4 linked regions of the Struthio camelus genome follow. The protein of the gene in region 4 purifies or fractionates together with the protein of the main gene of each other region. This does not show direct contact. Links are inferred from orthologs where the notes say so. Each region holds a gene or a part of one and is shown on either strand. Other genes may lie near its edges. The genes, in order: CARD11, RIPK2, USP18 and MAP3K7.

Region 1 (7,687 bases), on a different chromosome or scaffold from region 4:
ACCCCTGCGGTGTGTCACTTTTTAAGATCAAGGGGCATTTTTGATGATAATGTCTAAAAAAGGCAGATGAACACTAACAGCTGCTTATCCACAGGCTGGTGAACTGAATAGGGAAAAACTGTTCTGGAAGTCAGATCTCCAGAGAGAAATGAAAAATTATGAGCATCTGTAAGTAAGAGTGATAGTCTCTAAGGATAGTTGAGCATGGTTGATAATATAAAATATGTAAAACGTGGAAAATATTTAATGCTTCTGTTTCTTTGCTCTGAAGAGCTGGAAGGGTTGTGTTAACAATATATACGGCGCTACTGAGCTTAGACATCCAGGAGAAATGCAGTATATTAATTCTCAGATCACTAGTTTGTGAAATGCGTTTCTGGTATCCAGAGGTTTGCAGGACTGTTACACTGATAAGGAGTCAAGGGCAGTCTCTTCATGGGCTGGGATTGCTCTCTTGGGGGAGAAAGGAATGGAAGCAGAGGAACAGCAGATTAAGAGCTGGACAGTTTAGTGTTTCTCTGCTTCCAGCTGCTGATTTTTTTCAGCTCTCCAGCTCCAACTATTTAAAGATATCTAGCAGTTTCATTTCTGAGTTATGGCCTACCATTCCGATCAACCACCTTTGCTGAAAGATGTTCTACAGGCAGTCATGGTGTACATGGAACATCTTCTACTGGATAAACACATTTAATGTAATGCCTATGGCACAGTCAGAAGGAGAATCTTTCGCTATAGATATAACATAACAACGTTATGGTCTGGAAGTAGCTAGGAGCAAAATACTTAAGAGGCCAGCAACATTGTAAAGGAACTTCTAAGATGATAAGTCTTCTCTGCAGTTTCATCACTCTAATAGAATGCATAATGTAATCTTGAAATTGTGCGGGCTTTTTATGCAAGGATTTCAAAGTAAAAGCCTGGAGGATGGAAAGGTACAGCAGTGTACAGCAGCATAAAAAGGCTTACAGTACACTTGTTATTCAAGTTTTACCATCAAGGCTCAGATCATGCAGAATTAGAACAATTAGAGCAATTGGAAGAAACTAAAAATGCTCTCCTTTCCTGAAGTCTCTTTGAAAGACAGTGACAGCAAATATACCACATGTGTCCCACCAGTTGAATTTCCATGTGAGGGGTAGTTCCCTTGCAGGCAGAGGTTCAATTTATTGTTTCCTGCACCATGCATATAGAAAGGAGACTGAGAAACTGTACGAAAAAAGTATATTGGTACCCCTTAACCTGGGCAGCCAGCTGAATTAAAAGTTCTGGTGGATTTTAGTTACACAAAGAAATAGACGACGGAGCCAGGTATCTCTTTGAGGCAATTCTGCTTACTTACAAAAAAAGAAAAATTTCCTGCTTCCCAGAATTGAATGGGAGTAAAATAACAAAAGACAGTTTAATCATACTTCTAGTATTTTTTTTTCAGCCAGACAGTTCAGCAAAGCTCTTTCTGTTCTTTTTCTCAATATCATGTTTCTAGTGCTCGTTTTAGATGTATTCCCAGTTTTCAACTCTTAATATATCTATTTCTGGATTGTTTCTTGTTGCTGCTCTCTGAAAGATATGTAGCTCTACCAGACAAGGTCCTAGCCCCCACATTTGCATCAGGAAACCGACTGATTCAAATTCTGCAGCAATTTGCCATATTCTTGTATTTTAGGTGGATCATCTGGATTTTCTTGAATTTTCTGGTTGCCTGACAGAACATAATTGTTTTCTTCACTTTTGATGTATCTACTGATGTGTGAAACACATCACCTCAGTCTACCAGCTTCAAGGAACTATAACCTAAATCATAACATTTTTATGTCTTGAGAGAGTTTTTAAAAACTGAAACCTAGCATTAAGATTATAAATTCTTATAAAAAAGATAGAAACTGAGTTATGTGTAACTTTTTGACTGATGACTGGGTCACAACTGGATAATCTCAGTTTACCAGGGAAGTCTTTAGGAGTAGGACAGTTTTAGGTCTTTTGAGTTTCAGTGAAAGGTTGTTCAAGCCTCATTGGATAATTGCTTTGTCTCTAAGGCTTCACTCTGGGCCCAGGGAAATCTGTGATCTTTAGAACAGGTATTGTACCTTTTGAAAGCTGTTTATAATCTACAGCATTAAGCAGAACAAAAGCAGAAAGAGCAACAGCTACTACCTAATTCCTTGCTTGACTCTGGAGGGCAGTTTTATAGTCTACTGGCTGATATTTTCCCATTTGCTGAAGAACTCAAGGACAGAAGGGAAAACCTAAAACAGGGACTTGGTGAGTTTTGACTTGAATTTCTAGCACATTCTTCCTTTCAGATTAGGAACTGTAGCTTGGTCTGTGCGTGGAAGATCTGTGGTTTTTAAATGGAAGTGAAGCTACAAAGCCTCCTGTCAGCAGAGCTAATTGCTCCGGTTGTGCTGCGAATGGTTCCTCAGTTGCATGCACAAATCAGCTTCCTCTATGAAAGCAGTAGAAAGCTGGGATAAGAAATAACTTATATCACTTTTGATGAAATAATTGTAGGCCACAATTCTTATATCAGTATTTCACTGTTTTTCTGCAAGGTATGGTTTTTCCCCAGTTGCGCTGGTCCTGTGTCAAAAACTGCAGATCCTCATCCATGTAGTTGTCACATGGATAAATTTCTGGCTGCTCAAAGCAGGAAGCTTTCCTTGCCCTTATCACATGCAGTGCACAGGTTTGTTCACAGGTGAATTCTGATAGAGTTGCACAAGAATATAAGTAGCACATAACAGTGTAGTCCTGATTAGGGGGGGAAAAAAAAACCCAGAAAGGGGATAACAGGTTCTCCTATTGCCCAGCAGAGACTAGGAGAGAGAAATTCCTGCCTTCCTTAGTTTTTGAGCTCTTGATTTAGAGAAACAGAATGCCCTTCAGAATCCTTTTCAGTGTCATCCTTAGAGCATCCTTAGGTCCCTTATCAATCCAAGAACAGGTGCAAACACAGGAAATCAGAGGGACCATAAGGGAAAATTAGAGCTGGGATTCCTCACACATTTTGCTCCCCTAGTAGATATATTCTGCCTTCTCCCAGCCTTCATGGGATTCAAGCTTTCAGTTCAGTAAGAACACTTTTAAGTGTTTCTGTAATAACACTTTGAGCCATGTATTTTCTCCCTGACATTTCTTCTTTTCACTATCATCTCACTTCCTCCATTATTTTCTTTGATGCTGCTGTATGTTTTGATAGTGTTTCCACTGTTCTTTTATACTTACTTTCCATTCGTTGTGTTTTCCTTTGTTCTCTAGCAACTATTTTTAACTTTCTTTTTCTCTCACTCCATTACCATCATCGTGCCTCTTCCCTTCTCACATTCCTCAGTTCTTTGAATCATTTCTCAAGTATGCTTATCATTCCTAGTCTTTATGCATTTTCTTCTCTAGTAGTTTTCCATATGAGATAAGTACACATACATGTGTGTGTATACGTGTGTATATACATGTGCATACATGGCTGCTTTCTTCCAACCACAGAGAGTCAGCCTCACATGCACACATCCCTGTGGATGCACATGTGACTCCTCAAGGGTTCTTCTGACTTCTCACACATTCAGGACCTATTATTGACTCTGGCGAGGCTTCACTTGAAGCCTCACCTCAGTCCACTCAGTGTGAAGGGCAAAACCTAGGGAGTAACTGGGAGAAGAGCAGTATCTGTGCTTTGTTTTCCTCTTGAGGGTGAACAGGCAATAGCAGAAGAAGAACCAGCAAGTGTGGCAGGTGCATCATGAGAGATTTGGGCCGAGGATCCCTGTGCAAGATGGCAGCAGCATTAAAGGTTGCTAGTGGTGGTGGTAAATACTGATCCAGCACGACTAGGAAACAGTAAGGGAAAGGACTGGTTTACTTTGCTCCCACTGGCTTGCCCGTGGTGGGAAGCTCTTATTTGTGACCTAGCAGGTAAATGTCCTCAGTGAGACCTACCAGTGTGTGGCCTGGAGGCCAGAGTCCAGCATTAAAGCTATACCAGATCTTAGAGTCCAAGATACTGCAGCTTATTTATGCCAATGAGGAGTCCACCCCCTTTGTAAAGTACATTGTTTAAAGTATCATGCAACTGTAAAATAATATTTATATGAAGTAAATCTTGTTGACTTCCCTTTCAACAACAACAGCAGCTGTTAATCAAATACATGTTTCCTCAAAAAGTCTTTGAAACCTTGGGAAACCCCAAAACCCCTTCTGCCTGAAACTGCTGTTCTTGAAACTGTCTCCTGTTCAGAGCACGGTCCTTTCTTTCTTTCTTCTTGCCCTCTCTCCAGCCAGCATGTGCAATGAGAAGCAAGGGCTGCTGCTTTGCGAGCAGCATAGCGGCCCTAAAGCTGGCATTCAACATGTCCCTTTGTGCCTGAGGGAAACATACTCTAAAAGCCTGAGGAACTAGAAGTAAGGGCAAGGACATAACCTCTTTTTTCTCTCTGAGCCAGTTTTTTGTGCTTGTGCTGCTGCTGACTTTGCCCTCTGCTCTTTCTGGGGAAGGGGCAGAAGCGCCTATTTATTTTCTTGCGGTGGTACTTCAGGGCTCTGCTATCACCTGCAAGCAGAGTCATTTGCAAACAGGCTGTATCGCTGGGGAGCAGAAATGTGTTTTTTTTAAACCTTAAGCAGATTTATAGTCTGGTTTCCTGTCAGATCTTTGCATTTTCCTTCCCCGCCCCTCCCAGGCTCTGACACACTTTTTCTTACTTTCTGTGTCGCTCTTTGCTCATTCTGACACCGGGGCGCTTGCATCCTTTATTCCTGATTCTTCCTAAACTTTTGGCACTTCAGAGGCAAAGGGAGTGTCTTGCTTTTTGTATTTCCTTTACTTTTCAACAGCTTCAGAGCACAGATAACCTCTCCAGGACTGCTGGAGAGAGACAGTGACAATTGCATGGAGGCGACGTAGGGAGTTTCAGCCTGCAGCAGCTGCAGCAAGGCAGCCCCGGTCACTCATGAGCACCCAAGGTAAGGAAAGCAGCTATCAAATCAGCTCCACCTTACTGCTGGTTAGGATAGCACCTGATTCTAATCATACCGGTTCCCCTTTCACCTTTCACTTTTTTTGTGTTCATTTTCAAGAGCACGTTTCTTTGAGAATGGTTATGTTAGCTCCTTCCTTGCACTCAACAGGTCTAATTGTACCTTGCACGCACAAATATTTAGAGCGCGGGGTTCAGTGAAGCAAACAGGCTGTAGCTGAAGGTGCACATATGTTTGCAAATAAAGTGTGCACTGGGAAGGAGAATGGAAATGGAGGTCTGGAGAGGGGAGATGAAAGGACTAATTGTGAGCAGTGGCCTCTAGGGAATTTCTGTTTCTACCCATGGTATGTTGTGCTCTACCTTTACTTTAAATCTCTTCACTGGGCATTTATGCTTTCTATCAAATAACAAAATCTTTCTCCTTTGTTTTTTTTTTCTCTTTGAATTTGTTCTTCTCACTTCCTTTAGTCTTCTCTCAACCCTGATGTATCTCTTACTGACTTTTCCACCATCTTTTTATGTCTATTTTTCATCAAGCATAATTCTGTATAACAAATGTTCCTCTTGCCCCTTTCTTTGCCTTCCCTCCCCCTCCTCTTTTTTGCCTGTGCAATAGACTGTACATCCTGCCCCATGTTCTTAATCTTTCTCTCCTTCCACCCTGTCATTTCCTTCTTCTCTGTCTTGTGTTCCCCTTTCCCATTGCTCCTCTGGCTTCTCACACGCACTACTTCCTGCCCCATCTCCTTTCTCGTGCACACAGCGTACATTGCTGCCCCGCAAAGTTAATTTTGCACACACAGTGGTGTTGTCTCTCTGCTGAATTGTCCTTGCACACACATGCTGCTTTCCTGTCTACCCTTTCTCTCTTGTACGCATGCAGGATTTGCTAAACAAGTTCCCATCCCAAAATACCAGACTCTTATACTTGCACAGCTTCCTTCCAATTCTCACACTCATATCTGGTCATTCACAACAAATAACCCCTGTCGTTCTGACTCTGTTTCTTTCTGTCTCATGAACAGAATTTTCTAACACCTCTAACACACCATAGCTTCCTTTCTACTTATAAATACAGCCATCTCTGACATAGTTCTTTCTATCGCTCCTCTTTCTGTCATCTCGCTCCTCCTTAAGTCCTTACCCCAATCTTTCAGCAGGTTTCTCCATCTCTTTTTGTCTTGATGTTGACTTCATATTGGAAGGAGCCACTGGTCTTAGTCTCTGCTGTCTTAGCATCCCCCCTGAGTACCTGCAGGGGAACTGGAGGAAGTGTTGCAGTCTTTCAGCTTCTCTTTCCTTCGCAGAATATGCAAGCTGCAGCAGAGTAAGAGCATAAGAGTGGGAGTGAGTGTGGATAGAGAAATGGGAGAGCACAATCCAAAATGTTTTTTGAAAATTGTAAAAATGGTTCTAGAGGAGATACTTTCTTCTAAGTGATTATAAGCCATTTTACTAGCCTAAATAAAGCCGCAGTCTGCCTGCCCCAATGCCGAACTTCTGCTCTGACACTGAGGTAGTTTTTGTCCTGCTGATTTGAAACTCCCTTGGAGTTTCAAATCTCAGAGGTAGAGGTTCTCTACAGTAATACTATGGTGGGAGTAACTTTGCTCCTAGGATCTGGAAACAGCTCATTTCTTCTATACTAGATATATTAGTGAGTCTCAAAGATCAAACATGGCTAAAAATTGCATCCAAGAACAATAGCTGGTATTATTGCCTGTTTAAGTTTGTAAGCTTTGAACCAGATACAGCAAAGAAATAAGTTTCTTTGATGAAGCCTTTTTGCCTCACATTCTGAAGCAGGACTATTGGGACTGAAGATTTATTTCTAAGAATGTTCTGATGTGGGCTTTTGAGGACTGAATAAGGATCACTTATTAAACTCAGTCGAATTAATAAGAGAATTATTATGTAGGCGAATTCTGTTAACAATCTACCCCATCCATCTTCTTAAAAATTGTTCATCTCCTTATGGGTGAAAGAAGCCTAAATTTTATGTTTGCAATTATAATATATCCTTTCTGATTCAGAGCTATCAAACTGTGGCCTTTGAGCTATGAACATTCTCTTCTGAATGCAGAAGCAGCTACATCATAATATCTTTGTCTTCTGGATCTTGTGAAAAGTCCACAAACCTAGAATGACAAAATAAAAGAGATGTTCATTTTATTCATACAGATCTAATATGACTCTTTCCTACTCTGTTACAACTCATCCTGTGATATGAAAAGTTCTTGTGTTTCTTTTAGTCATTCTGCAAAACTTGTATGATGATCTTGTGCTTTGTTTTTACAGTATTCTGTGCCCCCAGAACTGTCCCTGTTCTGATGCCTTGGTATGTCCCAAAAACAAACTGGCTGAGACAACTTCCCTCTCTTTTTCTCTCTCACTCTTTTTTTTTTTTTTTTCTCCATCCTCGTAATTTGCCACAGGTTGAGTTAAAAATTGTTGAAGCTGGGTTGTGGCAGTTGCAAGGGGACAAGGAGCCAGAGATAAATTCTTTTCACTCTAGTACCTTGGGTCTAGAGAGAGATTTCAGCTAGAAAGAACATGAACACCTTCCATCCTACCAAGCAAATTCCTGTACTGGGAGGTGCTCCCCCAGAAAAGAGATTCAGAACCTCATGTTAACTCCCTGTTCATATGCAGAGAGTTCCTTCCAAATAGATTTAGCTCTGAATTAAGAGAAAAATAAACTTTCAACATTCATGAGA
Region 2 (7,871 bases), on a different chromosome or scaffold from region 4:
AAATTTTATTTAAAACAAAGTAAGAGTACACTTCTGTTCCTAAGAATAACGAAGACAATTTTTTGACACGTTTTATGTCTCAAAAGTTCTTGAACAAACAGGTTATTAATACTGAGGATACTCGGACTAAGAAAGATAATTCTAAGAAAAAAAGATTTAGCTTTTACATCAGTGGAGCCTGGTACAGATACAAGTGCATGACTGGGATATCCAAATGCTGGACTATTGCAGCCCATCTAAGACTGACCAGGCAGCCTGATTCAGAAGCCATCAGGTGTGCAGGGCTGCACACAGGCTAACAGTCAACGCCGATCAAGATTTGCTCAGTGCACTGCCATATTAATACGGCCATACCGCTCCCAGATGAGAGCTGGCTTTAGTCTGTGCCCTGCGCTGGATCGACAGAAGAGTTCAAGTCTGTCTGGACCCGTCAGTGCAGACCTAGCCCTCACAATCAGAAGGCCTTCAGAGTACATGGGGGAAAAAAGGAAGCCTAGAAAACTAAAGCTTGCTGCTTTTATGACAGAAGAATTTAAAATTTAGAGGTATGTGAAATTGCTTTCAATATGTAGGAAATAGAAAGCAAAACATCTTCATGATGGAGAAAAAAAAAAACCCTCCTGTTACAGGAAACTCTAGAAAATGATCTGAGGGAAAAGGCAGGCCTCAAGGAAAGCCAGGGATGTAACTCTCTCCTTCCAAAAAACACTAGCTTAGAGAAAGTAGGGGTTTTCCCAGGCTATGAGGCAGATCTGCATGAGATTCTGCTGTAACTGGGAAACAAGTTGCAACATACCGAGGGTTGTTCCTGGATCTATAAATTAGTTCACCTTTCTCCGCTCCATAGCGGAAGAGCATTGAGTAATGCCAAAGCTAGTGCAAGCCCACAACAGCTTCCAAACAGGCTCTGCTGCTCAGCAGGTCGCACAGACCAAATTCTGGGATGCACAGCGCAGGCTTCCTGTTTGGGGAGTTAACTGCACTGTGAACTTCCCTTTTCCTGACAGCACTTACAGACCAAACTCTTACGCTACCTACAACACCACTGACAATTTTCTTGTCACAAAAACTCAGGCGCAGCATTTCTTACAGCTTTAGGTTATTCTCGTAGCATTTCCGAGCTCTGCATGATCCACGGCTGAGGGCTGAGTTGTTCTGACTGCCTCAGTTTCCCCCTTTGTCAAAACTTCCTGGATTTCATGTCACACTGATCTAAATTCTGGCAAGGCTAGAAATACTATTGACTGTTCTTTCCCAATCAATTTGAAAGGAGAAGCGCTATATTCAGGATAAGCGGGGATTGAAGCAGATAATTTAATATAAAGAAAAAACATTGAGGAAAGTTGAAAAGTTTTTACATGCATGTATATACACACACGCAGGTATATGCACCCCCCTGTCCCTCTGGTGTACACATACACACACAAACGCACACATAGACATGGCTATCTGTACTTCAGTGAAGTTATTCTGCCTGAACACCTAACACTAGATCCAAAGAAATGAGTTCATGGAGGCGAAAGTCACCTAGATAAGAAAAAAAGGGGCAAGTTTATAGTCTTCAACAGCCTAAGATGAACTGGCATCGACCTGGTTAAAAAAGAGGCACTGTAGAGAGTGAAGGAGGCAGAGGTGGAAGAAAACTACAGCCTGCTGCATCCTTATTTAGGACGACAACTCCTGCGGCAAACAGGCTACAACCTGGTGCCCAGAAGAGCGGGGAACACGACGGCTGAGCTGCAGAGCTTAAGGGAGATATCACCTGTAGGCAAGAGCCCTACACACCTACCATTCCCAACCAGCTTGTCTCAGTACCTGCGATCTGGGGCAAAAATCTATTATGTTTTGTCTTGGAGAAGCTTATCCTGGGTCCCTGCACTCGGCAGCGCACACAGTAATATATTCTATGCACTACACTACATATTCCATATACTCTATACCCCCCCCCGGGCTCCGCCACGGCTCGCGGAGCTCGCTCCGCCACACGGACCCCCCCACCCCGGCTCCACCACGGCTCGCGGAGCTCCGCCACACGGACCCCCCCGCCCCCCGGCTCCGCCACGGCTCGCGGAGCTCGCTCCGCCACACGGACCCCCCCGCCCCCCGGCTCCGCCACGGCTCGCGGAGCTCGCTCCGCCACACGGACCCCCCCCCCCGGCTCCGCGGAGCTCCGCCACACGGACCCCCCCACCCCGGCTCCACCACGGCTCGCGGAGCTCGCTCCGCCACACGGACCCCCCCGCCCCCGCCACGGCTCGCGGAGCTCGCTCCGCCACACGGACCCCCCCGCCCCCCGGCTCCGCCACGGCTCGCGGAGCTCGCTCCGCCACACGGACCCCCCCCCCCGGCTCCGCGGAGCTCCGCCACACGGACCCCCCCGCCCCCCGGCTCCGCCACGGCTCGCGGAGCTCGCTCCGCCACACGGACCCCCCCCACCCCGGCTCCGCCACGGCTCGCGGAGCTCGCTCCGCCACACGGACCCCCCCCACCCCGGCTCTGCCACAGCTCGCGGAACTCGCTCCGCCACACGGCCCCCCCCCGGCTCCGCCACGGCTCGCGAAGCTCCGCCACACGGCCCCCCCCGGCTCGCAGAGCTCCGCCACACGGGCCCTCCCCTCCCCGGCTCGCCCACGGGTGGGCGGGTGGACAACGCCACCGCTTCGCAGCAGCCGACGCGGGGCCGCGGCCCCTGCCCCCGCCGGTACCTCTCGAGCAGCGGCCCCTGCAGGCTCTTGAGGGCCACCGGGACCCGCCAGTCGGCGTGGCGAGCGGCGGAGACGGTGCCGTAGGCGCCGCGGCTGAGGAAGCGCAGGTCCGGCAGCTTGTTGGAGGGGATGGAGGGCAGGGCGCAGCTGATGGCGCCCGCCTGGCCGCCACCCTCCCCGCCGCTCATCCTCGCACTGCGCCGCGGGAGGCGCGACTCCACGGCCCCGCGGGGGAGGCGCCACCCGACCCGACCCGACCCGACCCGACCCGACCTGACGCGGCGCGACGCAACACCCCGCCGCGCCCGGCGCCGAGGCCGGGACCGGGGCTGGGGCTGGGGCCGGGGCCGGGGCCAGGTCCTCGCCGTCCGCCCCGCCCCGCCCCGCCCCGCCGCAGCCAGAGCGGCCCGGCCCGGCCCGGCTCCCGGCTGCCCGGAGGGGGCGGCGAGAGGGCTCCTGCCGCGGCCGGAGGGAGGTGCGCGGCGCCCCCCGCGCCGCCGCCGCTCATTCGTGCACTTCCCGGTGTCTCCTCACTTTTTCCGATAGAGGAGGAGGGCGGGCAGGTCGCGCCGCCCCTGCGGGGGCGCCCCGCGCCGGGTGTCGGAGGGTAGCGCCCTCCGCCCGCAGAAGAGCATTCCGAGAGTTTTCCAGAAGGAGGAAACGGGCAGCCCGGCGGCGCCCGGGCCGATGCGCCCGGCGAGCCGATAGCTGGGCTCGGGGGCCGCGCAGGAGGTGTGCCGAGGCCCTGCGCCTCCCCGAGCCGAGCCCCGGCCTGGCGGCGCGGCGAGGCGCCTCCGAGCCGAGGCCGGAGCGGGGGGCGCGGGGCGCGGGCCTCAGCTCTCCCCTCGGGCCGCCTGGAGGCCGTTTCCCCCCCTCTCCTCTCCCAGGAGCGGGTAGGGAGCGGAGGACGAGGGAGAGAAGCCAGATTTTCAGCCTGTGGCGTTGTGCAATACGTCAACGGCGTTTTAAGGCCTAACAGTTTTTTTTTTCTGGTCCTCCGTCTCGGTCCCAGCCTCTTTACTTCAGGTAGTGGCAAATCTATGCTGTCTTTCCCCAGTTTTCTTGTATTTTGGAGGATATGTATCCCATGCTGCAACAGTGGTAACATTATATTAGTCATATAAAGAAGTCTAGAATTATTCTGCGCTCAGCTTTCATTTCAGTCTCTATCCTTCAAATACACTAGGTGGTTTCGCCGCAGAGTAATCTCTAGGCATTATGGCACACAAGGTTTACACATCCATTCGATGTATATGCCTCTCCCTCCATCTAGCATGTGAGTACTGTTACTTGTTACCCTGCTTCAACTTTGTTGTATAAGAAAGTTTTTCTTACCTAAAGAAAATAAGATGCGGTGGACACCAAAGGTAAGCACGTACTACAGAAACACTGTGTAAAGACATATTTATGGTATATCCCATTAAGGGCTTATAAAGGTCCCTGTACTGAAAATTGTAAGACACTGTACAGAAAGTTAATTGCACATCTTGCTGCCACATGTTTTTGCTGATTTCCTGTTTATTTATAATTTTAAATTACTAAAAAAAAGAAAAGGTTTGTGATTTTAAAAGTGGCAGAGCAGTAATAGTGCCAAAAATATTACTGTAATCTTTTTAACTTATTTGTTTTATTATAAAATGTGGAGAGTTTTTGTGACTTGGAGGTTTTATATGTCTTCCACTATTTTGAAAGATCCTGCCCATTTCTATTGACAACAACGGGTTTTGGATCAACTCAAGCTGTATGACATTGTTTTCATACAACAGTGGATCAGTTTCTGCTACTGGAGTGGAAGCAGAATTGACTTCATTTTCATCAAAGTAAAGGAAAACAGGACGAGTAACAGGCATAAGTAGTTAGTTGCTGCTTTGGATCTTTAGGAATTATGCCAGAGTTTGAAGACATGGACTTACTCGTGAGGTTGGAAAGGGAAGAGGAACTCTGCATTTGATTTGAGCTCCGTCACCATAGCACGGTGGGGAGCTGCATGTTTTGCTGCCGCACTGGCTCACAAGTTCCGGGAAAGATAAGCTGGTGCTTGAAATTCCCAAGACAAAGAGGGGTTAGAAAGGGAAAATTAGAACAAAATGTTACTGCATCTGGAAACCCCCTTTTTTTCTTTAGTATTTTGAAAGGTATTCTGCCAGATAACTTAAATGGTATCATAGCTGGTTTAAGGTTTCATAGTTCTAGGTGTGTGGCATAAATTGTGCTGCTAAAATACAAAATAATTTCAGTGCAGATCAAAGCTTTAAAATATTCCTTTGAGATTCTGCTGAAACTGTTAAGGTTGTAAAAGTCAAAGATAACACACTGTCAATTAAAGTATTATATTTGATATTCTGATTTTTAGAGTAACTGCATAATTAAGGTTTTAAGTCAAGTCTGTTTACACACTGTAGTGGCATACAGGAAGGCCGTGTAACAATACCTGTTGACTCTGTTCCCAACTGTGAATTGGTTCATAGCTTCATAGCTGAAAGGCTTGTGTTACGCTCATAGTATGTGTAGTTGATTTTCTTTATAATCACTCATTTTTAATTATTTTGTGAGAAAAAACCTTTCATAACTGTTTTTCTGCATTACTACAAGACTTATTTCAGCTATTTATCACATACAAAACATCTAAACTTTAATGTTCCCAGACTTCCTGATTTTGCCTAAAACCGCTTTGGTGTCTCTAAAAGTAAGCAGGATCCCTTTCTGTAATAAGTGCAAAGCAACGTGCCAGAAAAATCAGTAAGGGGTTTAAGGGTAGTCAGTAACTAAATGGCAGGCTCAGATTAGTTTCTACTTCTTCAGTACAATGAGGACTGAGGAAATTACGCACTCGCATGTTAAACTCCCCATATCTGTTTATGCAACAGTGGTGCCACCTCAAACTTCATTCCTACAGGAAGTATAACTCTTGTCAGTGAAGAATATGTGGTGGACTTCCCAAATGTGTGATTGTTACAAGAAGAGAAGGGTGATCAGATCAGATGTATGGGCCAGACGCTGCTAGAGATAGTGTCTAGTCAAGCTGCTTGTGGCTGTACTAGTTTGTGCTTTCCTGTGCAATGTATTTATTGGGATACAGTGCTCTTCTAGAAGAAGCTTGAGCGTATTTAAATCTCAAAGCATTGTCATTTTCCACTTCAGTTTTTTGGAGTCTCACTGAGGAGACTCCCTAAATCTGTAGGAAGTTCTAAAGCAGTGAGCAAGCAGACTTTCTGGTCGGTCAAATTAACTTGATTATTTATATCTGAGTAATCCTGACATAAAGAAAGAACACAAATCAGAAAGTCAGAATCTAGGTCCCAGAGCCTGAGCATGAGGAGCGGGATGTACAAGTAGATTTATTTTTCTTCCTGTTCCTGGGGCTGCCTGTCAGACCAAATCAGGACAGCTTTGCTTGTTATTGCAAAGACCTTTAGCAAAACAGGTCTATTAAACTGTGATTTGAAAATGTGCAGTTGGCAATAGAGAAGATGCATAGAATACTAATAAAAACAACTGCTAATCTGTTAATCACCTTTTAATGTTTTTTATGCAATACTTCTTTATTTGCCTAATTTAGTCTGCCACATTTGAATGAATAGGTGATGTAATCTATAATATGTCATCTGTCTGACTGTATCAGGTGATAAATGACCTGGTACAACACACTGTACCTTTGACATTGCTTGTTCTCTAATGGACATAATAATAAAAAGTACTCCTTAGTACTAAAAGAGAAGGTTCAAGGTCCTTCACATATGGCTGTAGGCAGAATCCCTACTCATTTGGGCATCCTCAAGGTAAATTAAGCTTTTGATAAAACTAAAGCTTGGACTGTGTAGCAGATAAACAGCTGACTTGTTGTTTCTTCTTTCAACTTTTCACTTGCTCATATCCTCCATGAGTACTCCCCCATTGACCTTTTCATTCTGATTGAGAAGTCTTTGGTCTGATTCTTCCCTTCACATAGGAATTTCTGAAGGTCCACATATAAATGAGATAAGTGAAGACCCTGAGCAACAGTACATTTTTTGTGATGTTCCTCATGCCTTGATTGTTAGTGCAATGAATGAAAAAAAATCGCTCTCTCTTGAATTTAGGAAGTATTTGGCAAAACTGATTTTGAAAGCACAACAGTTACATTGATGAGCTTAGTTTACAGGTTGTGAAATCAAGGAGTGCAGCTACTGTGTTTCAGTACCTGTGGACTTGTAAAATGCTTTTCACACCTTGTATCTCTGTATAAAAGATAACAAAATGATAATTAAAATTCCTCATGTTTTCCAGACTGAGGTGCAATCTCTTTCCTGACATTCTTCTCTATGGACAGCATAAACTGGAAAGACCTGTTAGATTTCTGCTGTAGATATATTCACAGAGATATTGAGAAGAGGCTATAAAATACAGAAATGTTTATGTGTTTGTTTTTCTGAGGAGCATGCAGCTATGGAACTGGTTGTTGCCATTTGCAAGATAGGCCTGAAATACACAGCTCCCCTATTTATACAGATATGTAAGGATGAGCGTACATACTGCATGCATGTCTTTACTGATAAACTCATGTTTCTGAAGTAATTTTTTGCAGTCTTGTCCCTCCATCCAGCCGAATTTTAGTACGTTCATTTCTATGGGTGTCACACAAAATTTCAGTTGTGTTTTTAAAATTCGCCAGGTTAACTGCCTTTCCACAACAGCACAGGTAGGTGAACGTTTTGTTTTTTTTGTCAAGGCAAGATGCTCTGATTTTGAAAAGCTATGGTTTTATGATGTAATCTCTACAACTTCTTTACTCCTGCCCCAAGAGCAGTAATTTTTTCCCTAAATTAATCTGGGTCATGTTTCCAAATACTTACTTTTTAATGTAGTTTCTCTTTGTTTCGTGTTCTTTAGAAAGGGTATCTTTCTGTTTTGTACCCAGTTGCCAAAATGTAGTATACACTGACTGCGTGGCTCGGGTCCTTTGTCCTTGTTTGTTTGTCTGTTACATAGACTGTGGCTTGATAACACTTAATGTAACAGCAGGAGTTACAATGAAGAGCAAAGGAGACACTTGAATGCTCCTCTTTGATCTCAGTAGGCAGAAGACTATCAAAACTGGAAGACTGTGTCAACTACTTAGGCTATGACTGTGTTTTGGGAGCAATAAGTATTTCCCAGCTGCTCTATCTGGATGTATCACCTCACTGG
Region 3 (7,291 bases), on a different chromosome or scaffold from region 4:
TGCTTTATAACCCAAAGCAGCTTAAATATTCAAAAGGGCAAATTTCACCTTCTCAGACCTTTCAAACCGATAAGTGTTTATTTGTTTTCTGGTTGGGCTCTCTGCGTTGTTTTAAACACTTTAATTACAGCTCTACTGTGGTATTTTGGATTCTGATCTATAAATGTAAGGAGGCTAAGAACTTGAATGTCATTTCCTGTATAAGCTCCTTCAAATAATCACAGGCAAAGGGACTGTTTAAGAAGGGAACCATTAAACTCCTTGATTTTAAGGGGAGTGCTGAAAGGACCATTACTTCATTACAGCCTCTTAGGATTCAACTACTGGCTCTTTAAAGAAAAAAAAAAAGTAATATATGGAAGCAAAAACACAAGACAAATGTTAGAATGCAATTAAATAAAAAGGGAGGGTTTTTGAAAGTCCACCTTCAACAGGGAAACAGAATCAGAAAAGAAGGATATCTTTAGGAAAACATTCACGGGAGGGGAAACCAAAAAAAAAAACAAAAAATATGGTGAGGAATTTATATTTTAAAAATATTGAACAGCTTTTAAAAGGAACCTGAGGCCATTCCAAATACTGAAAGAATGAAGGAAAGTCACTAGGAAATAAGCAAAAAAACCCGGCAGAAACCTTTCATGAAAAGAAATTATTTGCTTTAAAAGCATATTTTTTCCAGGTTAACTGTGCCTAGTAATGTTACATTTCAGAATTTCTGAGGAATTTATCAAAAAACTAGAAATTAATGGGTTTTTGCAATTAATAATTTTGACCTTAAGTATACTTGTCTCCAACTGTACTTTATCAAGACTACTTTTGAACTCAGACCTGTTTGATACACTCAGATTCACTAAATATTGTTGAATTTGCTGAGTTTTATCTGGGAGGGGGGAAAAAAAGAAACTGTATCATTCAGAGCTAGTTTCAAGAGCATCGCTTTTTACGTTCAAGACCAGTGATCAGAACAGCAACTCAAGAAAGTGGAAACTGGGTTTGATTTCCCCTTCTGCAAAATATTGCAAGAGCCTGATACTGCTTCTTTCCCAAAAAGTGATTTACCCAGGCCTTCAAGTTACTGATAGTTCAGCCATAGCAGGAGCCGACCTTTGCTTGCATGGCAAGAGCTAGTGGGTTTAGTTGGTGTAATGTCAGCAAAAGGGTGGCAGTAACGCTCACAGCTGGTGGGGATACTGGAGGAAACAGAAAAGAGAGGGACAGAAGGGCAGAGCAGGAATAGCTAAACAGCAGCTATGAACGTGCTGGGGATGAGGAAAACTTGGAAGAGAGAGGCTTCGGCAGGAGAGGTAGGATTAAGGGTGGGATGCATGAGCGAGTGCAGGGCTAAGAGGCTTTGGGTGACTTGGGAAACTTGGGTAGAAAGACATTAGGGCTGGGAGGTTCAGAGGGATGCAGAGGTGAGAGAATCTGGGGTCTCTGGCTTGATGAAACTCTCCTCCACACACCCAGGCAGTGAGCTAACAGGAACTCTGGTTTAGGAGCAGGACATGACTAGAACTTTCTAACCCTTGCACGGAACTGCCTCATTTTGGTCAGAAAAAACACAGTATTTTTAAGATTTGCACTTGACCTTCCTTTACCCAGCATAAATGTATAAACAAACAGGTGAGTGAGCATAAGAAGGGAGGAGTAGGCTGCCCTCTTACCACTGACTTATCCTCTCAGGAGAGCACTGAAAGAGCAGAGTCCCTCCTCAGTTTCCTTTGCTGATTAGCGACATGACTCAGTGCTGCTGCCTCGGCCAAGCTACACGCTAACTCTAGGCAAAGAAAGGGTAGCAGTAGTTCCTCCATCATATCCTACGTCTTCTAAGCAACCAGCCTTCTCACCTACCCTCCTCCCTCCAAGCCCAGGGCACTCCCTCCTACTAGGGCTCTGCTCCACAGCCCTTATGTCATCCCAGGAGACCAGACTCTAGCGACAAATCCCCTTGGTCCCTTCACGCTCATGTATCGCGGCCCCCCTCAGCCTTAATGTCACCCCAGCTACGCAGCAGCCCAGGCGCTTGGCAGTCCCTGATGCCCCTGGCCACCCAGTGGCCACCATTCTTTCCCACCACCATCACTTCTTTTTAAACCCCGCCATCATGTTGAGGTCGAGGTCCAGGCCGTGGAGATGACTGTGCTGGGACGGGAGGTAGGACAAAAAAGAGTGACCCAGAGACCAGGAGGAGAAGAAATGGCAGCCCTGAGGCTCTTCCCTAAGAGACTGACTCTGCAGTGTAAGCTGGCAGGCAGTGCTCTAGCCTTTCACCTCCGTGCTTTCCTCCTCGGAACGAGGATTTTAAGTTTTCTGGTGAAGTACGTGTTAGTTCAGCCCCAATTTTTCTCCCTCCTCTCCTTTTTTTTTTCCTCCTTTTCATTACAGGATAATTCTGTTTAAACAGACAAAAGACCACTTCAACCACTAAAGTCACGAATTATTTCCACTCCCTAGATTGCAGCGTCCAACAACCCATCGGATTCCATCCGCTCAAAACGAGAGTCACTTTCACCAGCTAGGAGAAACACGAATCACCAAACCAATGCGATACAACAGCTCGGAGGACACTGCGCAAGTAGGTATTTTAATGGCACGATGTGGCCCCTATTACCTGACGGTCCGTCGACAGGGCTTCTCACACACTCCCGGAGGACCACGAACGCCTGAAGCCCCGGCAGACCCCGAGGTGGCCACCGCAAGCGCGAACAGACCCTCCGCAGCCAGGCAGGCTCGGCGCCGCCGCCGCCGCCCGGCGCTCTCCTGCGCAGCGAGGAGGCGGGGAGCCAGCGGGCAGCCTGCCGCCGCGGCCACGCTCCTCGCCCGAGTGCGGTCCCAAGCTCCGCGGCGTTTCTTGCCGGCTGCGTCAGAAGGCAGCAGCGCCCACTTCGCCGCGTAGTTTTGATTTCCCACTCCGCAGAGCGGGAGGCATAGAAAGTGAAACTACGCCGGGCTGGGCCTGGGCAGCGCCGCCCGCCTCTCCCTCCGCCGCCGCCGCCGCTGGGGGGAGCCGAGCCGAGCCGAGCCGCCGCCTCACGTCTCCCCGGTCCATGGCCGCGGCGAGCGAGCGGGGCTGAGCGCGGCCGGCGCGCGACATGGTGGCGCGGCGCCTCGCGGCTGCAAGAACCGAAGAGGTAAAGCGCTCGCACCGGGCCGAGAAGGAGGGGAAAACCACAAGCCGAGCTGGTAGATGCCCCTGTCTGTAAAGGGCTGTCGCAGGAAGGTGGCCAAAGGCCTGGGAGGAGCTGCGCAGGTGCCGGGCTTGAGGGGCGCCCGCTCGGCAGGTAGAGGCTCGGCTCGGCCGTTGGGCCCCGCCAAGGCTTCCCGCCGCTGCCCAACGGTCGCGCCCAACGGTCGCCTAGATAAGGGGCTCGCAGGGTGCGTTCCCCGCCACGCCCCTCCCTGGCATATCGCAGCCGGGTCTGGTCGGTTTTCTCTTTGCCGGAAGCAAAAGTGAGATTTAAATGGAGAAGTGAGAAATTAGGCTCCGTAGGAGAGGAGAGGAAGGAGGAAAAAAGAAAAAAAGAAAAAAAGCTTTTCTCAGATGATTTCATTACTTCAACATACTGGCTCTGCCAGGACCTTAATGTTTGTTCTTGATCATGCAAAACCATGCGTGTTCTTGACCATGCATTTGTTAGTCATGACATTTGTTACTTTCAGCATTAAAAAAAAAGACTTTTTTCATAATTACAGCAACCTAGTTAGAAGTAGGTCACTTGAAATAATCCAAAATAAATAAGTGGCCTACAAATTTCAAAAGAAAAAGTCACTTGGTAGATTAGACTTCTAATCAATTCCGTCCATCCTTGATGGTGGGGTTTCAAAATGCCATCTGCAGCAGGATATACGAATGACTGTACAGTGATGGACAAATACCCCCGCCATGTAGCTCCACAGCAGCCAGGGCTGTGTGATTTCTGGCCTCAGCAAGTCAAGTGCCTCCTGAAGCGTAAAAGTGTGTTAGGTGGCCACTCACCCTGTGCGTGTGTCAGGTTTCCAGACTTTCCCCTTCCTGTTGCTCCTGGGCATCAGGAGGAGGAACGGAGGGCAGCAGCACCCTTTAAGGGAATGCTGCTTTTTGGAGAATGGCCATGGGCCCAGCTTTGCTCCTGAGAAGGTGGGAAATGCTTTAGGTGAGCAATGCTGCCCTGGTCCCTGCTCCCCTGCAGAGTGCTGCTGGCTGGGGAATGGCTTAGGGAAGTAGGGAGTCCTGCTATGTATGTAAAGTGGGTTGAATCTCTGGCACCCAGGTGAAGAGAGGTCCCTGTGTGATTTGGCAGGGCACAGCTGCCTCCTGCATTTATCCAGGAGCTCCAACTGAGTCAGAAGCAGCACTTCCTCTCCCTGCAGCTGCCACCAGGAGGTCCCTAGGGGACAGGTCCTTCCATTACCTTCCATCACTGTCGTCTTCACCATCCTCTTCCTTGCTCTCTCTGCCTGTAAGATTGGGTTGATGGTGCATGAGAGGTTTGTGGGGGAAAGACTTTGCTTCCTTTCACGGGCCATCTGGAGTTCCTGATGGCTTTTCCTGTCTCCCTTTCCTTGCTTCCTGCAACCTCACTGGTGTCTTTGGAGTGCCCTTCTACCCCTCAGAAAAGCCCCTTCTGTGAGCTGCTGACAAACTGAATTTCACCTGTGCTGTGCCTTCAGCTATTATTAAATTCTGTGGATGTTACAGAAAAATGTATGTCGGGAGGAAAACCACAGCTTACATAGCCCAAACTTGCAGGCTGTGTCTCGTATCTTATAGACATTTAGTAGTTATAGAGGGAATGTAGGAGTTGAATGTGGGTGTCCTTTTATAAAATTTCTGCAGCAAAAATGCTTTTTCAAAGCCTTGTGTCGTATATATTCTTATTATTAGCATACTGTTTGTGCCCCTAACACCTTGAACTAAAGAGCCAGACCTTTGATTATGAGGGAAGGTAGAGTTAGGGTTCAGAGGAGGATTTCGAGGATGAAGGCAACCCTGACGATGGTAGTAAGGGATGTTTACTGCCTCTCCTTTGTCATATATACTTTGTCAGAACGCTTTGGCTGCTGCTTCTACAGGAGGGGTTATACTAGCATATTATGACTGGCCAGAATAGCGTGTACTCCCTGTCCTGTGTCAGGGACATCTGTGCAGCCCCCACCCTGTTTCACTGAACATGGGAAGGAAACCGATGAGACTTTCAGAGGGACTCTCTGGAGCCCATCAGAGCTGTTATTGTTGCAGTCTTCGCAGAAAAGGTCCCAGTGCCATCCCTTCCGGGTGGGTTATGTAGAGCTCTGTTGGAGGCAATGCAGTTGCTTGGCAGCCAGCGCTCTTCAGCTAAGGCAGCAGCAGTGGCAGCAAAAACCTTCCTGGACTGTCAGCCTGGACGAATGTGGATATCTGCAGAGGCTCATGAGCAGGTGAGCTCAAATAACTTGGCATCTTTCCTGAGGTTAGGCTTATCTCTGGCAGAGCTTCAGGGCAACCACTTAGATTTAGTGATGTAAAGTTCCCTCTCGATGGCTAGCTTGTACGGTATCTGCCTGATAGAAGTGAAGAACAGTTAAAAAAAGAACTGCTAAGCCATGAGTTGCCTAGAAGCTGTCAAACCAGCTGAGCAGAGTGCAGATTGGCACTGAAGATTAAATAGAAGCTAAGTCTGACAGGTTTGTGGAATCTAGTGAAGCAGTGTGTAGCTGAGGTAGCTTTTGGAAATGTCGCCTGTGACACAGGTGATTCTTAATCTAGAATACTAGATTAGATATTCTAGATTCTTAATCTAGAATACTAGATTAAGAAGACCATATGGTTCTGTAAGAATACTGTAAGGCTTTACTGTTGCGTGGCTAGTTTCCATTGTTTTCTAAAAGCAGGCAATAAACCATATCACTTCCATTAGGCACAGAAGCTCCATTTGCAGTGAGTTAATAACATTAGCATTGTGCAACTGGTTTTAAAGCTACTCTTGTGTGCCTAAAATAACATCCCAATCTTCCATTTTCTTCAAATTGGTTTAATATATCCACTTAAGAATATGCAAACATCCTCAGGAAAAAGACTGAGGCAGTGGAGTTCTGAGTTCAGACTCTCTTCTGAAGCAGAGCCAATGGGGGCCAAAGCTATGAGGACTGGATAAGGCAATAATGAACAGAGAAGAGAATTCAGAGAACCCGTGCTGAAGAGGTGGTTGTGACCCAGAGTAGCAGCAGAAAGCAGACCATGTCCAAAGCCAGACAAAGCTGTTCTCAAAAAGGGATAACACAATAAAGAGTGGTTTTGGATGCCTGTAGAAATCAGCTGTGACATCCCACGCAGAAGTCTAAGCCCAGGAAGTGTGCTCAGATAAAGGGATGTCTAAAAGGGAAAGATTCAGTGTTTGGGTCCAAATGCACTGTCTGCTAAGCATCCAGGGGTCACTTTTGACAAAAGCTGCTAGCTTCTAATAACAACCGCAGCCCTTCTAAAGTTATCTCCAAATCATTCCAAAGAGTGAATTGACTACTGCGAGATTTGGGACTCTGATTCCTAAATATCCTTTCAAATAAAATAAACCATAACATTAATGATCAGAGCGACATTTCAAACATCCAGTGAGTTAGGCACTGCACTCCCAGTGATTCAGAACCCATAAAGTACTCCACACTGGATCAATAACTTTACTTCTTCATTGCATCTCTTTCAGCAATTTGCCAAAGAACAGAGCAAGCACTTAACCTGCCATTTTTTGTCGCTTCTTTGTTTATGTATCTTTTTGTAAAATTTATTCATGCAGACCTAGAGAAGGTTTAGAAGTTTAAATCTCAAGATAGGTGAACCGGTTAAGATTTGTCACAAGTTCTTTTAGTTTAACTGTGTTTCATGTATGAAATTTCCTCTTTTTATTGGTTTTGGTTGCAATTCAGGACAGAACTGTAAGGGAACCTGTTTAAGACCCTAAATCCCACTGGACTGAATAATGCTTATTCATACTGCTTCCACTGAAATACATAATCAAGTGTGTCTCGAATAGGGATGTTTTCCTAAGCGGAGGCATTTCAGGTACTCCATAAATACATAGTTTAGTATTTTACTGATCTGGATAATTAAATGCATATAATACATACAGAGTATACAAGTTGAATGTGATGTTGTATTGGGAACGTGGCTGTATGGACGTTGTATTGCCAACAGAGATGGAAACTCCACCTGAAGAAGATCTAGATAAAAGGTTGCTGAGGGATTTTCTAGGCAAGAATGGTTGTCGTTGCCTAGCAGGCTGTGAATCCTGTAAATCCCTGAACTTTGCTCACTACTTTGAATTATCTTTGAATGAAT
Region 4 (7,004 bases):
TTGCAATGCAGTAAAGCAAGGCAGAATTGGTGATACGATTAAGATTCATAGTCAAATTTGACACGCACAAAATGTTGCAACCTGCTCCTGAGAAATCCTAACATAAGAGCTGAAGAGACTACATGAGGAGAGTGGATTAGCTAAGAACACCACCATGCTGAACAACAGAAGAACTTTTAGTGTCATCAGAGTGATCTGTCCTCGTGAGATCCTTACACTGCACCTGGACTGGAACAAGAAGTGTGCTTCTTTCAGGTCTCTCCCGATTGGTTTTGTACGGCACACATGCTTTATGGTGTGCCATTTATTTGTCATCACCAGAGACATGCTGTGGCCTCATACTCACAAGGCAATGCACAACACAGTTCATCCACCAGTCCTTGTCACTCCAGTCATCCAGGCTAATTCCCCCCCCCCCCGTTAACTCCTGCAGATTTTCTTTGTATAGCGTGCATCCTGACACTTTCCAACACACAGGTGAGACAAGGCTAATAACTCACAATCACATCTACAGCTGTTGTAAAGGTCTTTAATCACACTTGATTCCCATGAACTGAAATGACATAGCTTCCATATTTCAGTTTCATTTATCTCTAACATTTACATGACAATATTTGAGAAAGAAAATAAAGTCAGTCTTGCCAGAAACATGAACTATTCCTGTGCCTGAAGTTAAAAATGTTATCAAAACGGAACCTATCTCATTACAGGTATGCCCGCTGTTGAGACCACCCAACACCTTCCACTACTGCGTTCCAGGATCATTTTTCTGTTGCCTAAACTTAGATGTTTTAACCAACTGAACAAAAATTGTGTACGCTACATGTCTGACACAAGGTGAAATCTTTTGAAAGCAGAAATTACTTAGCTGTTTTGCTAAATTACGTTAGCACAAAACATGCTAGTTTGCTCTTCTTAAAAAAAAAAAAAAATCTATAACGTGGAAATTTTAACAGAGCTGGAACATGAAACCTGACAGCGGGTAGCCATGAAAATACAGATGTGTTTCTCCTCATGAAAATGTGACCGAACACTAAGCTGCAAGATTCTGTAAACTTTGTTTAAATTTTAGATAAGATACTCAGATGTTAAGGCTAAGCCTCAGGTCCATTAAGCTGGCCATGTAGACTTACTTTATATTTTTTAGGAGACCTACTGCATATCTTCTGAAAAATATAGTTCTTAAACCTGGTCCACGATGACAGGAGCTGTCAAAATATCTGCTGCAGTTATTTCAGTCTTGAGCATTTACTTCTGCTCTGACCATAGTATCCTGAGACTTCACAGAATCTTTTAGTCCTTAACTTCCTTGTAATGTAATTTATTTTCAGTTAGTGATATGCAGTTGAGAAATAGAATCTGGACTTCCTAAGTTCTAGGTTTTTCTTCCAAACACAAGAGCAGCTTTTCTCCCACATAAACACAGATTGTAAGGGATGCAGTTGGAGTGTTTTTGTTTTCCTTTACCTCTCAAATGTGTTTTTTGAATACATATTTAAAATGTTCTATTTTGGGAGCGTTCAAATTATACCTAGTCCTCAGACCCAACACACAGCTAATTAAGATTGTGTCAGTCAGAAAAGAAAAAGAAGTAACCATAAAAACGGCAACATCCTTGAAACCCTATCTGATCTTCACAACAGTGACATTTTGATAATGGCAATGATTTTGCTTTCGCTAGAGAGAGAACTCATTATTTTTGAGATACATTTCTACATCAATTCCTGAAAGGAAATGAACCTTACAAACAACTATAATTGGAATGCTCTCCTCTGTGCTCTTAATTCTTATCAACAACAACAAAATACAGGTAACAGCACCACTGTTAATAGCACCACTAAAATATAGAAGACAGCAACCGCCACTTGCTTGATATATGTCTTCAAGAGGCCTGTGAAACATAACATAAAGCCAAATGTTCAGTTAATTTTACTAGAGAACACCACCTGCCACCAAAAGTACCACTACTACTAGCCATCTTTCCAAAAAACATTAACGTTCTTCACCTTCCCCAGTATATAACATACGTGCCTAAATCTAAAAAAAAGCCTGAAAATGTTAGGAACTAATTAGGAACTAACATTAGGAACTAACTAGGTCTAAATGTTAGGAATCTGTTTTCAATCTGACCTACAGTTTCCCAGTACCTCACAAATCTATATTCGTGATCTAAAAACAAATATATTGTTTCCTCAGCACCTGAAACAGTGGCAGCAGATTATACAACAGTGATGTGCTTTTCCTTTAAGAAGGAAATACCCTGAAGTCCTCAGGTCCAGGTACAAACCTGGCCACTTGTGATTCCATGTCATGGTATGGCCACGATGTGCACTAACGGTGACTTTCACGGCCACGAAATTCAACTGTACACTTGGGTATAGCAAATGTTCATTCTGAATAATCCAGAGACTACGTATTTGGGCGAAAGCCATGGCCAACATCAATATCTAAATTAAATGCAACCTCTTAGAAACTAAGGCCCCTGGATAGTCGCATTCCTGGAGCAAGCATGTATTAAGGAGATTTTGGGTTACGCGGAACTTTCCCATTTCTAACAGAAGCCTCTTTAAATCTTTCTACACTGAACAACATACGAAAAATCAAAAAGCAAGAGGAATTCAGTACGTTCAGGACACGAGTCTGCTCCCATGCACACACAGATCAGTTGCACAACGTAATCACGCTGATCCAACCTGTTCTGGAGACTAGTCTCATCTTGCATGCGATGCAGAGTCGGCTGGCATATGCACCGTGACTGTTTGTCTGGGATTTCTGGATTGCTAGACGTTTGGAAATCCTGGTCAAATTACTTAGGATGCAAGAAAAAGGCAAGCGGGCAGCAGACAACCCAAAAGGACAAGCTATCACAAAAAAAAAAAAAAAAAAAAAGCAGTAGCTCTGGCGAAAAGGGCTTTTAGTTTAGCTTTTCTAGCAACACCCGAACCACCACGACGCGAGGCTGCTGCCCGTATTCCTCCTCGATCTTTCTCCTGGTTCATTGCTGACGCAACTTCTTCAGGCCAGCTCCGTAAAGCAGCTCTCTCTCGTTTACCAGACTTGGTATGAACATTCATTAGCATTTTAGTGCAGGAAGATTTGGGAAAGCTTACCAGATCTACTAAGATTACACACTATTAATAGTATTTTATAATAACATAACATTTTATATATAGTACTGGGGCTAAACATATCGGACGGAAGCCTGACGGCGCAGCTGTTTCAGTGCAACGCAGCGGCTCTCTCCACTGCCCCCCAGCACTGACTTCGCACCACGGGTTGTCCCCAAACACCCAGCCCCGGCCCATTTAGCACCAAGACCCAGAAAGCGTCGCCCAAGCCAAACGCACAAGCAGACACGGGCACTGGGGGGTAGGGAAGGGAAGGGCCTTAAGGTGGCCCGTCCGCTCCCAAAACAACCGCTGCGGGGCAAAGACCGAGGCCCGGCTCCGCCGCCGGCCGAGGGCCGCAAGACGAAGCGGCCGCCTCGCTGCGCGCTGCTGCCCTCGGCGGGGCGGAGCGGCGCCGAGGTGGGTGTCGCTGCCGCCGGGCCACGGCCCTCGCCGCGGCGGCCTGAGTAGCAGCCGCTGCCGCAGCGCCGCCCCGCCCCGGCCCGGCCCCGGCCCGGCCCGGCCCGCCGGCAGCAGCAGCAGGAAGCGGCGCTGATGTCGGCCGCGGCGCGGCGCTGAGCGGCTCCCCCACCCCCGCCCGCCGCCGCCGCCGCCGCCGCCGCCGGGGACGCGCAGCCCGGGCGACTCGCAGAGGCCGCGGCCTAGAGCAGCCGGCGCGGGATGCGGAGCGGGGCCGCCGCTGCCGCCGGCGGGGCCGCCGCCGCCCGCCGCCGCTGAGGCCCGCGGCCGCCGCGGATGCGGCCTCGCCCCGCTCGGCGGCCCAGGAGGCGCCTCGGCCCGGCCCGGCCCGGCCCGGCCCTCGGCCAGCAGCGGGCGGGCGGGCGGGAGGCGCCGGCGCGGCGGCGCCCCGTGTAGCCCCGCGGCGCGGCCCTGCCCTGCCGCGGCGCCCGCCGGCCTGCGCCCGGCCTGCCGCGGCCGAGCCAGGAGGGATGTCTTCTGCCGCCTCCGCGGACATGATCGAAACCCCGCCCGTCCTCAACTTCGAAGAAATCGACTACAAAGAGATCGAAGTGGAAGAGGTGAGTGAGCGAGGCCCGGCCCGGCCCGGCCCGGCGGCCGCGGCGCCTCCCCGCTCACCCACCCACCGAGCCACCTGCCCGGTGTTTTTCCTTCTCCTGGCGATGCTGCAGGGGCTGCCAGGGGCGGAGGTGCCGCGGAGCCTTAGTTCGGCCACGCGGGACACGGGGGCGAGGCGGTGTAACGTGGGGTTTTACTTACTCAGGAGGCTTTAATATGGGAGCAAACGCCGTTGTCACCGGGGGGGGGGGGGGTTTAATTCTGATTTTTTTTTTTCCCTTTTGAATCACTCTTTTTGTACTCCCCTTCTTTTTCCTTCTGCCATGCACCGGGAACGGTCATAGATCTAAAACCAGCATACTGCGGTTAATTATTTTCCTGCATCTAAGGCTATGTTAGGTGAAAGGACATATAGCTTTTTTTTTTTTTTAAATATAAGCTAGCGATGTGGCAGTGGTGGGTCTGTAACGTTTCATTTGTGACCTGCACATATTACACAGGAAGTGGCATTCAGTGGTCGTGTAGCAGAGTCTGAAGAAAGTATTCCTTCCTCTTATGTGGAAAGTTTCTTTGAGGCTAGCGTTGAATGAGTAAAGTACACCATTTCTAATGTACTTCTTGGCTGTCTGGATTTCCTGTGAGGGTAGGATGGAGGTGGTCAGAGCGTATCTTGCAGCTTTGTTAAAGGGCTCTGTACCTATACATCACGGTATTTATTAACTTTGTCTACCTCACAAGGTATTCTTACCAGGTGAGGAAAAACTCAACAGCAAGGTTTGCACTGCAGTAAAGTTGTTTCCCACAGGCCCATACTGAATTTGATGAGCTCGACTTGTAGAGTGTGGACATAACGAACATCCAAGACTGCTGAAACAGTCTTTGTGCTTTTGTTCTTAGGTTAACATCTTTGTCTCCCTCAGCAATAATTAACCTCCACTTTTTAAAAAACATTGCTGGGGAAGTGAATTTAGCTTTGTGCAGTAGCATTTAGATGTACAACAACCACATTATTGAAGCAGTTTGCAACGTATTGTATTGTTTATAATTATTGTGTTGTGCTCACACGGCCTTGAAGAGTTCACAGAACATAGACTTTGTAGTATTTCTGTAGAACGCTGGAGTACTTTCTGCTTTATTCAGATGCCGTCGTGGTAACTTCAGTTTTTAGCCACAGCAGACAGGGGAAATCCTCAGAAAATAAACTCTCTTCCAAAGGAGTGCCTTTTCCCCGTTGTGTAAACATGGCATTCATGATGGTTTTTAACTCTGTAGGTCCAACTGTTCCTCTTCCCTGTATGCATTTAACTGCTTTGAAGCAAGAGAATTTTATGGTGCTCCAGAACTGAAAGTATTTTTGCATTTGAGGTATACCGACGTTTGTATAACATTTAACAATACACAAGGATCACATCACATACTTTCGGAGAAATGGCTTGCTTTACCTGAAGAAGAAAATAAAGTTCATAGGAATTTAGAGATCATAAAAAGGTGCCCAGGGATGTCTCATAAAAGTGAGTAGCACATATAATATGTTACACATTGCACTTTGAACAAATGAAACACTATACAAATTTTTAATCCTCACAACACTCTTGGGAAGGCTGTTAGCAAGGATTATATTGCCGTTTTACTTGTAGGAAATGTGGAGCCACATAGTGTGTAATTGGTGTAACTAGAGTTTATCATTCTAAGGTTTAGGTTCTAAGGTTTCACAGTGCAGAACTTGACTGTGTCCTGCATGGCCACCAAGCACCCGCAGAGACAGGAACGTATGCACAAAAGCGTACGTGTAGTTGGTGCCCAAGCCATAATTTGTGTTTTTTTAATTAGATTGTTGCTTTATCCTCAAAGTAGCTTCTCTGCTGGAGATGGCCGCTCTTATGCAATAGAAGCTGGAGAGCTGTCGATAAAGTTTTACTTCATGAGAAAATTTGGCAGCTGCTGCACCATTTTGCTCTGTGTACCTGCCCTACCAGAAATTCTTACCAGGCAATGGCGATATGATTGTACTGAACGCAATCGAAACGTCATTGCACGGAGGAGGAAATAAGATCTACTTTGCAATAAAACAGGTGAACTGGAAACCGTGCTGTACCTTGCTTTTCTTGACTGTGGGTGTTAACCTCTTACGTGCCGTGCCTTTTGCAGGCCTACCAGACGTTGTAAATGAGGACTTGCTCTGCTCTTACGGCAGACCCAGAAATTTTATTTTTGAGTGGCTGCAAGGACTGAAAATGGCCAAATTTTAATATATTTTATGACACTTAGATATTTCAAAATGGAGTGTCAACGGATCTATACTGGAAACTCAAATGAGTGCTTGTATAATCATAGCTTTGCTGTTGTATTATCAAAGCAGTCTTGTCAGCAGATAGCAGTTCCACTCTGCCACTGGTTTATTAATAGATATTGAAGTTCTGGAATACTTGCAGGCCCTGAGTCCTTGCTAATAAATTTAAGATCCATAAGTGCACTTTCGTTTTGGTTTGGCTGAGCTCTGCTGGGTAATATCATGAATCTACCATATTCTGTTTGTGCTATCATGTGCATGACTATAATACAGGAAGTAGCACTGCAGGACAGTTATAAGTCAAGCATGTCTCCAACTTCAGGCTGCCTTTTCATTATTTAAAGTAAAGGTTGAAGTAAAACATAGAGATGATTATTACCAATCAGTCAGAGTCAAATCAAAATTATGTGACACAGTGGGAGCATGTTCAAAACTAGAAGGGGAAAGACAACTTAAAACTTGGGTTCAGCGAAACGTTCCCCACTGTACCATGCAAATTTTTGGTTGCGTGAATGTCGTCTTTTAGGTTTTCGTGTATTAGACAGACAAAGCATTAGAAACTGAGGAAA

The links.
Region 1: the proteins of MAP3K7 (region 4) and CARD11 purify together in Homo sapiens (affinity purification with western blotting; 3 studies listed by BioGRID). This does not show direct contact. The link is inferred for Struthio camelus from reciprocal best matches to the Homo sapiens genes MAP3K7 and CARD11.
Region 2: the proteins of MAP3K7 (region 4) and RIPK2 purify together in Homo sapiens (affinity purification with western blotting; 4 studies listed by BioGRID). This does not show direct contact. The link is inferred for Struthio camelus from reciprocal best matches to the Homo sapiens genes MAP3K7 and RIPK2.
Region 3: the proteins of MAP3K7 (region 4) and USP18 purify together in Homo sapiens (affinity purification with western blotting; 4 studies listed by BioGRID, with this or other methods). This does not show direct contact. The link is inferred for Struthio camelus from reciprocal best matches to the Homo sapiens genes MAP3K7 and USP18.

The regions. Positions count from the first base shown.
Region 1 is NC_090956.1:5,763,294-5,770,980, forward strand, and holds the start of CARD11 (caspase recruitment domain-containing protein 11), read left to right. Parts: upstream 1-4,675; 5' UTR 4,676-4,940; coding exon 4,941-4,953; intron 4,954-7,687. UniProt on the Homo sapiens protein: Adapter protein that plays a key role in adaptive immune response by transducing the activation of NF-kappa-B downstream of T-cell receptor (TCR) and B-cell receptor (BCR) engagement.
Region 2 is NC_090943.1:151,164,883-151,172,753, forward strand, and holds the start of RIPK2 (receptor-interacting serine/threonine-protein kinase 2), read right to left. Parts: upstream 3,003-7,871; 5' UTR 2,894-3,002; coding exon 2,706-2,893; intron 1,231-2,705; exon of another isoform or gene 1,091-1,230; intron 1-1,090.
Region 3 is NC_090942.1:70,950,607-70,957,897, reverse strand, and holds the start of USP18 (ubl carboxyl-terminal hydrolase 18), read right to left. Parts: upstream 3,007-7,291; 5' UTR 2,612-3,006; intron 1,778-2,611; exon of another isoform or gene 1,665-1,777; intron 1-1,664. UniProt on the Homo sapiens protein: Interferon-induced ISG15-specific protease that plays a crucial role for maintaining a proper balance of ISG15-conjugated proteins in cells. Regulates protein ISGylation by efficiently cleaving ISG15 conjugates linked via isopeptide bonds.
Region 4 is NC_090944.1:50,781,600-50,788,603, reverse strand, and holds the start of MAP3K7 (mitogen-activated protein kinase kinase kinase 7), read left to right. Parts: upstream 1-3,990; 5' UTR 3,991-4,057; coding exon 4,058-4,147; intron 4,148-7,004. UniProt on the Homo sapiens protein: Serine/threonine kinase which acts as an essential component of the MAP kinase signal transduction pathway. Plays an important role in the cascades of cellular responses evoked by changes in the environment.